Linked DNA regions of Oryzias latipes. The protein of the gene in region 1 purifies or fractionates together with the protein of each later gene. This does not show direct contact. Links are inferred from orthologs where the notes say so. Each region holds a gene or a part of one and is shown in the gene's direction. Other genes may lie near its edges. The genes, in order: stk26, sike1 and slmap.

Region 1 (3,648 bases):
TGTTCAGAACTTCTGGTCCAAATCCCGCCAGTTAAAGTGGTGCGGAGCACTTTTAGAACTTCTTCATGTCTTTGGATCTAAAGCTGCAACAAGTACCTGAAGACTCGGATATTTGCGATATATCCCTGATTAATTCAGTGCAGATCGCTGAGTCGTGAATATTTTTACACATAGTGGGGTGTGGTAAAAAAAAGTAATGTACTTCAGAAAAATTGCAGCAGAATGTTTTATATTAAGTATATAAAGTAAACAAACGAAATGCGCTACTGTCACCGGAAGTTGATGGATTTCCAAAGTAAAGTGTCAGTGAACGTCCTCATTTTTCAAAGTAAAACTATCGAGTTTTTTTCGTAAATAAAAAAAAAAAAGACTACAGTTCAGTTTACTGACATAGGTTCTGAAAAACGGATTTTGGTTAATCATAGTCAACAATTAAAAAATACAAAATGAAAAATATTTCTAATGAGACTTTCTGCTAGCATGAACGTGTCTGCAAAATCTAAAATGTTGGAGTTTTTTGGTTTTTCTTCTAAAAATAGAAAGTCAGCTTATAAAACAGGTCTGTTGGAAAGACTGTTGTAGTTTAGATGAAAGGACAGTCGATGTTTCCTACTTGTTGCCTTTTTATTGAGGTGTTGCTGCGTCTTCATTTACTTTCTTCTTAGCATCGACCCACTTGAACTCCAGTCGGTAAAAGTTTGAGGATGGAAAAACATTTTCCGTTTTTTTTTTTGTTAAACGATCCAAAACATTTACGTTTGTTTTGTTTACTGCTGAAGTTAACCAGGAAGTTGACAGAAAAAGCTATGAGTGTGACGTTATTTAAAGTGGTCAATATCATTTCTTTCTTTCTTTCTTTCCAAATCTTTGTTTTTATACGTTAAGTTGATTCTGATCTCCTGTTCTAAGCAAAGGATGATTAAATACACATTATTTTCATTCATCGCGTTCAAAAGACAAGCGGTGCGTTTGTGTGTAGCCACATGCTGCCATATGGTCGGTGTGTAACTGTAATGGATCTGCAGAGTTGACGTTCTAGCAGTAACCGAGCGTCCTGTGACTCAGCACCATACTGTCTGTCTGTGTGTGTGTGGGTGTGTGTGTCTGTCGGTGTGTGTGGTGAGGGTTTGTGAAGGGTGCCACCGCTACACAACTGTCAGAGTTGAGAAGACTCATTGTTCTGGACTCTTAGGCGTTGATGAAACCTTTTCAGAGTTGCTTCCTCTAGGGTTGTGTGTTGGCAAGACTCTGGGGATTTCCTGCTTTTCTTGGAATCATTTATGAAATATTTGATCAACACGGATTTAAAGGCGCATCGTCAACGAATGGTCTGTTTTCAAACATACGGCACATTGGACTATACGGCACATTAACCGAGACCAGAGTCAGGCATGAATCTGCCAGTCAGTCAGACTGATGTTTACAGGAACTCTAGAACATGTTTGTAACACGCTACAGGTATAACAAACACGTAGCCAGGTTAGAAGCGCTAGCTGGGTCAGGGTATTCACAACGACTGTAACTTCTAAGCTCGTTAGGAGAATCTGCTAAAATAAACGTTACTGTGACTTAGGGCTGTGACGATAACCGCATCACTGCACGTTTTTTTAATTTGAAAGTTCTGCATATGGCGCGTGATTTGAACTATAATAAACACATTAAACACATTCATCTTTGCTGATAATTTACTTTTTCTGCTAGTCCTGTGTGTAGAAAAAGTCTTCATCCTCCACTGCAAGGGAGGGCGGGGCAGCCCATTATACATATTATGGGGGTCCTGACACCATGACTCTTGCTGCTTCATCACAGCGGTGGTAAAAAATCCCACACCGTCACAGCACTACTGTGACTACGCTAACCCCCTAACTTTGTTAGTAACACGCGGTCCAAAACTGCTACGGGTTGGCTGCGTCAGAAGCGTTAGCGTAGTCACAAGGCCTGTAACTCCTAACCTCATTTGCAACACGTAAGAAACAATACTTCTAAAATAAAGTTTGTTTCTCTGACTATGCTAGTTGTTCGTAACAGTCTAAGGCCGAAACAAACTGTGACCACGCTAACCCCAAACCTTGTATAAAAACACTTTTAAAAAAGCATAGCATAGAGTTAGCAGGTTCACAATATCTGTAACTCCTAACCTTGTTTGCAATGCATAAAAAACGATGGATACCGCTAAAACATAATTGTGACTACGCTATCTCCCAAACTTTTTAGTAAAGTTTAAAAACAAAAAATTCAATTCCGACAACCCGATATGTTCGCTAGGCTAGCATGCTAGCATGAGATGGTTCTGGTGCTGAGCTGCTGAAAGAGTCTTGGTGTGCTGAGCTGCCATCTCTTGATTGGGGGTGTAAGTGGAAAAGTCGGACACTGAACTACATTTTGGCGTATAAATAGCTAGTTAAAAATGTTTAAAATCCATACAGGTCTTGCCATTTTTAAAAATCTGATCCAATATAATCTGACTGACTGACAGACTCATGTCTGATCAACACACATTTAAAGTCGCATCGTCAGCGAATGGTCGGTTTTCAAACTGATGATGATGTTTTCTGCTCCTGTGTGTCTCTACAGGCAGACATTTGGTCTTTGGGCATCACGGCCATCGAGCTCGCCAAAGGGGAACCGCCAAACTCAGACATGCATCCCATGCGCGTCCTCTTCCACATCCCCAAGTCTCCTCCTCCCACGCTGAGCGGAGACTTCTCCAAGAGCTTCAAAGAGTTCACCGAGGCGTGCCTCAACAAAGACCCGGCCTTTGTACGCATCCAAGTTACTTTCAATCAAATAGATGATTTTTCCATCCTAAGGAGGTCAAATCGTGCTTTTGTCTTGATACAAATTTATATCTGTACGTCTTCTAAAGTCATATCCAGCTTTTTGTTGTGATAAAAAAGATTTTTAGGTGTTTTGAAGTTTTTAAAGTAACTATAAGAACAACTTAATCATTTATTATTAAAGAAAAAACAGAAATAGTTTTGTTTCATGTGGAGCTTTGGTACCAAATGGAACATTTTGAAACTTTATTTTTAGTTACTTTGCACTCCTGTAAACGTAAGGCCGCTCCATGAAAGTTTTGTTGTGTTTTGCTGCCACCTAGTGGAAGAAATTATTAAATCTCCTTAATTTGATCAATAAACCTGAGGCCAAACATTTAATCATTTTATATTTTTTTGCCTCTTACTTTGAAAAAATCTCATTTCCTCTTTTTTTTTTTTTTTTTAATTCCCCTCCTTTGGCTTCACTCTACGGTCCTGCAGCGGCCGACCGCCAAAGAGCTGCTGAAGCACAAGTTCATCACCAAGCACTGTAAAAAGACGTCTTACCTGAGCGAGCTGATCGACAGGTACAGGAGGTGGAAGGAGGAAGGTCACAGCGGCAGCAGCTCCGACGACTCAGACAGGTGACTTCAGGGCTTTCTTCTGCTGCTGCTGCATGTCGGTTCAGCGCCTACAACTGTTTGTTTGTGTGAGCAGTGAGTCCAGCAACAAAGAAAACGACATGCATCCTGAGTGGTCCTTCACCACCGTCCGGAAGAAGAAGACAGAAGGCAGGATGGTCCTCAACGGGACGGTTAGTCGCAGTATCTGGTTCCTCGGGAACCTTCATCCTGATCCTCCGATGGTTTTAGGGCATTCGGGTTGAAGC
Region 2 (4,323 bases), on another chromosome or scaffold:
CTAGTAGTCCAGAGAGAGTTTAAATTCTCTTCCCAAAGCTGTAATACCTCGAAATGGACATTTTTAAATATGAAGGGCCAGAACCTGAGCAACTAGTGAAAAGAGGAAAGGGCTAAGAGGACATCCCTGCCATATTCCTCTGTTTGTGTCAAATCTAGGAGTTGTGCCATGTGCAACTTTAATGGAGCTGTTGCATCCATTGTACAGACCCTCCATCACTTTTAAAAATCTTTTACCAAATCCAAATTCTTTTATAACTGGAGTCATAAAACTGTGACTAATTATGTCAAATGCCTCGTAAAAGTCAACAAATAAGATAAAACCATCATCTCTAATATGTTCATTATAATCAATCATTTCTACTATTAATCTGGGAGCCGGTTTAGCTCGTGTTTGCGGCGCCTTCTGTCCGTGAAACCAGGGTTCGACTCCAGGCTGCTCCCTGCTCCCTTCTCTACCTCTGTGCCGGTCCTAAGCCCAGTTTGAGAAGGTTGCGTCAGGAAGGGCATCCGGCATAAAAACGTTGCCAAATTTACCACGCCCTGTTTACCACGCGTTCGCTGTGGCGACCCCTGATGGGAGAAGCCGAAAGAGGAAGAAGATATCTAGTATTAATCTGATATTGTTGGCAATATTTCTACCAGGCATGAAAGCAGATCATTCTTCTTCAATAATGTTATCCAGTCCTGGTTTTAATCTTTTGGTAAAAATGAGAGCAAATATTTTAGCATCATTGTTTAACAGACTAATTGGTCTCCAGTTTTCTATGCATAATTTATCTTTTTGTGGTTTGGGGATGAGTTTGATGATGCCTTGTCTGAGAGTTGGGGGCAATATACCAATTTCTAACACTTCTTCAAATAAATTAGCTAGAAAAGAGGTTAATTTGGCAATAAAACATTTATAAAACTCACTTGTTAGTCCTTCATTTGCTGGACTTTTATTATCTTTAAGAGATTTACTACAATTTTCAACTTCCTCTGTTTTAATTTTCTGGTCACAAGACTTTTCAAAGGTTTCAATTACTTTTCCAATCTTTTCTTTAATATTGTTGATAAATAGTTCAATATCTTCTTCTCTAAAGCAAATTTTAGTGTAAGTTTCCTGATAGAATTTTGCAACATATTGAGAAACCTTTTTTGTATCTTCACTTATTGAATTACCAATTTTAATTTGACGCAGACAGGAAATTTCAAAATCTCTTTGTTCTCAGTTGAAAAAGTATTTAGTACATTTTTCACCTTGTTCTAACCATTTTCTTCTGGATCTAACAAAGGCTTCTCCTGCTTTTTCTTCATATACTTTATTCGATTCTGATTGCAAAGAAATTAGTACGTTTTGTTGTAGATTAATTCGTTTTCATTGATAATCATTATTTTTCCTTATCATTATTGTCTTTGAATGCATCATAAGAGGGGGCGGGGAAAACGCGGAAGTGACGTCATCATTGATCGCAGTGTATCGTCTGCTTGACGGATAGGTGGGGGTACTTTTAAAGCGTTTGTTTGCTGTTTTGACCGTTTTCTCCATACCGTGTGAAAACAGTGCAGGCGTTAGGCGGGAAAGTTCCCGCAAGGCTTGTGCTCGGAAGCGCCGCGGTTACGCGCCGAGCTCGAGCCAACTTAGTTGGAGGGAGTTTCGCTGGAACCGCGCTCGTGAAGCAGGGGCTCGATCGCGTCGCCCCGCGGACCTGACGCTTTCCAGTAAATGGCCTGCACTTTGGAGAAAGTGTTGGGCGACGCTCGGACCCTCCTCGAGAGGCTGAAGGAGCACGACACGGCCGCCGAGGGTCTGATCGAGCAGTCCGGGGCCCTCAGCCGCAGAGTGCAGGACATGAAGGAGGTGGGAAATGCCCTTCCGGAGAAGGTAAAGACTCGGCGGATGAGACGTTCAGGTGCTGGGCGGCCATAGCTGCTGAAAATACCAGTGGGATTTTTTAATGGATAACTTTTGCTAGTAAATAACATGTTAGTACATTTTGTTTGACAGCACTTGGAAGACAATGCAGAACTACGGGAGCTCACAAAGTACAAACCTCATGTTCTTCTGACCCAAGAAAACACTCAAATCAAGGATCTGCAGCAGGAGAACAAAGGTAGGATTCTGTTCGGGCGGTTTCCACGGTGGGTCGTGTTTGTTCTAACCCTCTGGGTGGACTTTCTCCTCAGAATTATGGCTGTCTCTTGAAGAACACCAGTACGCTCTGGAACTCATCATGGGTCGGTACCGCAAGCAGATGCTGCAGCTGATGATGGCAAAGAAGGAGCTGGACACCAAACCGGTTCTGAGCCTCCACCAGGATTACGCCAAAGTACAGCGTCTTTCACACCATCTTTGTGCAGCGTGACATCGTCTCTTTGAGGGCCGGCTTTGGGAGAAAACTCGTGGCGTTTTTACTTGTCTCTACAGGAAGTGCAGAACAAGGTGGAGCAGATATGCGAGATGGGTCAGGTGATGAGAAGAGCCGTTCAGGTGGACGATCAGCACTACTGCTCCGTTCGAGAGAGGCTGGCTCAGCTGGAGGTGAGTACCGACGATCGAGCCTCTTTCCCCAAGAGGTCAGAGGTCATTTCTTCCCCCTAAAGCAGTATTAAAAGCAGCAGAGGGGACGGAGGAGGGCCCACGAAAACCTTCACAACAGCAGACGTTTGTCACAAGAACCAAAGATCTGAGAAGGAACTCCTTTTGTTTTGGTCCATCCATCCATTTCACCTCCAGATCTGACTTCACTGCGTCACTTAAAACTTACAGAAACCTTTTTTTTTCTCTTAAAAACTTCCAGAGATAAAGTTGTAGCCTGAAGGTTTTGAACGAAATGTCTTTTTCTAAAAAACAGGAAGCTGTCCAGTAAAACATTCTAAAGATCACATATTTGTTTGATTCTTGCAGCTTTATTGCATAAATGTTCTTTTTTCCTATAAAATCATTTTATATACATTAAAAAAACTAAGAATGATGAAAACTGCTGTGTTTAGGCAACTCAGTCCCAGGTTGGCGTTTTTAACAAGACTTTGGTTTTTTTCAAATGTTCTATGTAAAATACTTTAATACAGAGAATGTAGGCATTTGTCTTTATTTCATACTCTTCTTTTATCTAGAACAACAAACAATATAGGCAGTACAACATTTTAATTGTGAAAGACGTGTAAATCTTATCACATGTACACATTTAAATCTTTTGTTTTAGTGAAGAAGAAAAGTAGTAGATGGAGTCCGTTGGGAGGAAAGTATTCAGTCTCTTGGTTTTTTTCTCTCTTTCAGATTGAGAACAAGGAGCTTCAGGACCTTTTGGTCATCAGCAAAGAAAGCATCAAAATGTCAAAAAAAGAAGAACCCCACCAGCCTGAAGCAGCAGAACCGACTTCATGAGCTCCATCGAGCTCTGCGTGTGAATTTATTCCCTCAAATGGATTTATTTATAGAAAGTCATACGGCATCTTTAATACAAAAAAAAGATCTATCATCTTGTCTGCAGCTAAGATAATAATTAAAGTGTTACTGTGGACGGCATTCAATTAGCTGTTCTTTGAGGTGTATTTATTAGATTCTAACACGTGCTGTCAAAGTAGATTTAAAGTATTTTTTTGCCAAAGATATATATTTAATCGTCATAGTTTTTTTGGACCCCTGATGTTCACACAATCTCTACTGCCTCCTATTAAAGCCAAGCACCGCTCTGTTTCACAACAGAGAGGACCTTTGGGGAAAACAAGCAGTTTATTCTGATTATATTTACCTGTTTGTTTGAATGAACAGAAGTTTGGTTTGTGCTGTTGCATTTTGTGCAGTAGGTGTTTTTTAATTTTTTTGTATGAATGAAAAACGTTCTGTTTTCATCTCAGGAATTCAGTTTAACTTCATGGTTTGGTGTAAAACAAAATCAAACGATAATAATAAAAGAAGTGTTTTTCCAAGGCATTTGAGGTGTTGTCCCTTCTTCGAACGCAGGGCGGCAGCATCGAGTCAACTTACTAAAAACCTATCGCGAGATCGGAAAAAGTACAGCGCAAACGCTTTTAGGCTATTAAAAACCTATCAAATCACCTTTTCACGCAACTTTCATAATTTCCATTAGTTTGGTTGTAACAATATTTGTCACATTTAAGTGACATTTTAAAAAGACAATCGTCAGAAAGCTCGGATTTCCCACAGAACCTAAACGCCGCATGAGCCCTATATTTGACAGTTGTCGTTTTAAGCTAACGGATCCAGAATGTCTGAAAGGGAACTGGGGAGGAAGCTGGACCGATGCCTGGCAGATGGTGTCATTAAACTGGGTAAATAGAGTCGTGTTTGTCCGGTTTTGTCAACCTGAAAACGAAA
Region 3 (4,163 bases), on another chromosome or scaffold:
TGTCTTCTAGAGTTCCTGTTGTGTGGTCCCTATCAATGATTTGCTCTCAGTTTTCAGCACAACAGGGATGTTTTCTGGAAGCATCAGCAGAATTTGACCTCCTTCCACATCCCAGTCTCACAGCGAGTCACCTGAACAAAATCCTTTCATGGAAATGACTGCTGTCATAAGACTGTCAGGGATTTCCATAGCTATGATAACGCTGTCAGAAACATAAAAAACACTAAAAAGTGATGATTGTTCTCACCACTCAGAGGACATGTGAACATCTCATGAAGTATTTCGGGTTCTTCTTCCCTCAGAACAAACAAAAATCAAACATTTTTGATGGTACAAAGTACAAGCATGGAGAAAAGAAGAGAATGAAGCAGTAATAAAGGAAAACCTCACAGATGCAGGATAAGTCCATGTGTTTGAAATAAACTCCCTGAGTCATTTGGAAAGCTTTTACAAAATCAGCAGATTTTCCTAGATGCTTTGTGGATTGACAGTCAGTACGCGGCTGCAGGTTAGGGTTGGCAGTTGTATGTACACCGCAAAATCTTAAATGCTGAATGGCGTAAACTTATATTTCACTTTACAGCCTTAAGAACGGACAGAATTGAGGTGAAACGTCTTCCAACTTTAAAACCTAAGTCCAGATGACCCCTAAACCTCCTACTAAGATGAAATCAACCTGGATGAATAAGAGTCTTCATCGACAACCTTAAGAATGTAAGAAGACCCTTGTGTTGAGAAAAAAAATTATAACGTTTTCAAAAGCAAAATAATCGTAGTTTAAGAAAACATGTCTAGATTTTTTTTCTTGGTTAGACCATTTTTTTCTTACCCCTATGGCTTTTTTTTATTGCTAATTTAAAGAGAATTTGCCCATGGATTAAGAAATGTGGACCTGTTTTTGCAGTATGACATTCCTCATTCTGTAGGCTGTTTGAGTGTCAAATGTACATAAACCTTTTAGTAGGTGTTTATTAATTGCTTGTTTTTGATACTTTAAATGTATTAGTAGTAAATTATCAAGTGTTTTTCATGACTTAATTCACTGTTTATTATTTGTAAATTAACTATGATGTGATTACTTAAAAAAAGAAATACTGCATTGAATAGCATCTCCAGAATGGTTGTTGTAGAAAACAAATCCAACTTCAAATTCAAAAGAAAAAAGTTTCTGGAGCCAGACTGTAGGTTGATTTACTTGATTACATCGTTGAGGTTACTGAGCGCGTTCAACATGATTACGTATTAGTGAGTGTCTGTGCTCCCCGGCCCTCCATTGGACAGAGAGGATGGTTTGATCAATGTGTTGCTGTGATCTGGACAGTGAACGCACCACGCCTGTACTTTCAGTATGGCGGCTCGGACTCACGGAGGAGAACAACTTCTTCCAGGTTCCTTCCACAAGACTGTCGGACGACGACGGCTGTAACGCGCGCCCGCTGCGGAAAACGCGAGCCGGGCTACCGTAGACGACGGGCGGTGTACGTAACGACCTTCGCGGACATTTCTTCTGGAATTTAATCGCCTCGGTGTGATGCGCCAGGAGCCGCAGTCTAGAAACTCCCGATTTTTTTTCCGCTCCGCCTGTCAGTTAGCCGGCTAGCTGCGGGCTAGCTCACCTTGATGCTAACGCTCGGTTGCGGGACTCTTAAATTTGAAAAAAGCCCGAAAGCTTTCGGGTTTTGCCCGCTTTATGGGACAGTGATGGCGCATCGCGTCCCCCCGGTAAGCGAACTCGTTGAGGAGGGCAGGGAGAGAGGATATGAGAACCCAAGTGATAACTTTGTCGGTACTCATTAGCCTAGCTTAGCTCGCAGGTCTACTGCTGGCCGTTAGTTAGCGCTTCCCCCTGTCCACTCGCTAGCTTGTTAGCATTTTAATGCACAACACTGTTCGTAAGTCTCCTCCTTGTCCCGACTGAGACTTGAGTTTTGTAGCAGTTGTCGAGACCGCGTGGATGCTTCATGTTGACCGGTGATGTTTCGTAACTCAGGAGTTGCTTCTAGCTAGGTTTCAATCATTAGCGATCAGTTAGGTGTTCTGTTTGGGAGGGGAGGGGGGGCAAACGTGACGTTTGTGGGCTCGATAAGGTTCTCCGTCCCAGGTCAACTGGGTCATGGATTCCGACAAACTGTCTGTAACAAACGGAGAGGAGACAACGGACATCTAACCTTTGAGTGTTTGTCTGGAGTGTAGTGTTCACGTGAGTGTTTGTATGTGTGCGCGCGCGCTCATTAGCTCAAAGGCGCGCGCAGATATCACCGCGGTTGACGTACAGCTGGGATAGACAGTGACCTGTTGCTGGTTCGCGGGGGAAAAGATCCGCGTCTGCAGGCCGCCGCTTCCTCTCCACGGCTCCGTTTGATGGACGTGAGTGGCTGTTTGCCAGCCCGTCCGAGCTCCACTCAGTCATGTTGGTCTTGACATATGGCACCTTGGGCTGTACATAGTATTGGCTGTCAAATATAAGTCGTAATGTAGCTTCAGTGGACAGCCAGCGGAAGGAATGTCTTGTCTTTTTATACACGTGGATTTGTTTTTTTAATTTAAACCTTTTTTGGAGGGGGTCTTACTTCAAAGTGGTGAAGCTGTGAGACCCAAGTGGACAATGCATATTAGCCAGTGCCTACAGGAATAAAGGACTCAGCATTCTGCCTACGTATAGGCCACCTATATTTTGGATTATTTGTTAGGGATTCCCACAACAACCTGCCAACCTGGATCAAGAAAACCTGTCCGTTGCATCTGGTTGGAGCAACACTCTAAAGCTAAAATCAATGCCTTCAGCGCTGGCTGTGTTCGCCTGCCGACCCAACTCGCACCCATTCCAGGACCGGCATGTGTACCTGGATGAGCCGGTCAAAATCGGCAGGTCGGTGGCTCGGTGCCGCCCTGCCCAGAACAATGCCACCTTCGACTGCAAGGTGCTGTCCAGAAATCATGCCCTTATTTGGTTTGACCACAAGACTGGCAAGGTGAGAACCTCCCGCTTCTGCGTAACCTTTACCAGCTGACTGATCACATGTTTCCACAGGTCAAAATGTTCCAGTTCTATGAAATGGTTTTGTTTTTTTGTACAACCCATGCTTGACCTGCATAAATGGGTGGTTTGATGTCCTGTATTGGGGACAAGCTGAGGTTTTCCACATGTCTCAGGTGTGTCTGACGCTACATTTCAGAGGTGAGACAAAGAAATGCGGTCCGTGTTTGGATTGTCAGTTGGGTGGGCTGTCGTCACAAATATGTGCTTTTTCTTAAGCTGCTTGAAACGCCGTTGATGAGTTTTTAACATGCATTTTGACTACATGCTGGATCACAGCAGAACTCAGACACTTTGCTCTCCTGGGAAAACCAACATTGCCTTCAATGTCGATGGGAGTTGCCAGATCTAAAGTTAAAACCTTACACGTCAGCACACCTTAGGCAGGAAAGGTGCAACCAAGGAGAACATACCTGAGTGTCTTTAGGGTATTTATTAAATCCTGTTTAGTACCTACAAGTCTGACTCAGTTATTGTGTTGTAAATGCATGCAAATAAAGAAACGAGCAAATCCTTGACTTGATGATGACAAACTGAAACGTTTAACTTTGTCAAATAAAATGTAAATCTCTTATTTCATGTAGGATTTATATTTTAAAGTGGTGTATGTGTGGACATATCAAAAGCTAAGTACCACAATAGCACAGATGTGTCAACTTAAATCCAATTTTTTATTAAATCTATAATTCTGATTGTTGAGCTTATTTGACATCCTAAATGTGGTTAAGTACACAGAATGTAAAATAATTAGTTGGGAGTTAGAGGCTCCATCTCTCCAGTTCCCAGCATCCATCAGTAAAGGTCCCACTTCTTTAGAAGTGTTTTGTCTGACCTGTAGTGAGCTCCTACATGGTGATACTGCTCCAATGACATCCATCAGAAGAGTTACAAATATAGAAAAATTAAATCCACAGTGAATTTTAATGAAGTTTTATTTTAAGGGGGCGAATAAGATCTCATCAGCACTCGTGTTCCTTTTGGATTCTCGGCTTTATGCACATTTTGGTTGACTAAATTGACTGCATAGAAATGAAGTCTACGTTAGCGGACTGTTGTTGACGGTGAGCAGGTCTAAGTTTCAATCTGTGCAGTGCACTCCCTCTGGTGTGTTGAGCCTCTGGAGAAC

The links.
Region 2: the proteins of stk26 (region 1) and sike1 purify together in Homo sapiens (affinity purification with mass spectrometry; 4 studies listed by BioGRID and IntAct, with this or other methods). This does not show direct contact. The link is inferred for Oryzias latipes from reciprocal best matches to the Homo sapiens genes STK26 and SIKE1.
Region 3: the proteins of stk26 (region 1) and slmap purify together in Homo sapiens (affinity purification with mass spectrometry; 5 studies listed by BioGRID and IntAct, with this or other methods). This does not show direct contact. The link is inferred for Oryzias latipes from reciprocal best matches to the Homo sapiens genes STK26 and SLMAP.

What each region holds. Positions count from the first base shown.
Region 1 is NC_019876.2:4,690,946-4,694,593, reverse strand, and holds part of stk26 (serine/threonine-protein kinase 26), read left to right. Parts: intron 1-2,574; coding exon 2,575-2,760; intron 2,761-3,260; coding exon 3,261-3,403; intron 3,404-3,476; coding exon 3,477-3,573; intron 3,574-3,648. UniProt on the Homo sapiens protein: Serine/threonine-protein kinase that acts as a mediator of cell growth. Modulates apoptosis. In association with STK24 negatively regulates Golgi reorientation in polarized cell migration upon RHO activation.
Region 2 is NC_019865.2:1,582,144-1,586,466, forward strand, and holds the start of sike1 (suppressor of IKBKE 1), read left to right. Parts: upstream 1-1,436; 5' UTR 1,437-1,707; coding exon 1,708-1,866; intron 1,867-1,989; coding exon 1,990-2,095; intron 2,096-2,168; coding exon 2,169-2,311; intron 2,312-2,409; coding exon 2,410-2,523; intron 2,524-3,261; coding exon 3,262-3,369; 3' UTR 3,370-4,277; intron 4,278-4,323.
Region 3 is NC_019863.2:32,540,491-32,544,653, reverse strand, and holds the start of slmap (sarcolemmal membrane-associated protein), read left to right. Parts: upstream 1-1,314; 5' UTR 1,315-2,774; coding exon 2,775-2,972; intron 2,973-4,163. UniProt on the Homo sapiens protein: Associates with the striatin-interacting phosphatase and kinase (STRIPAK) core complex, forming the extended (SIKE1:SLMAP)STRIPAK complex.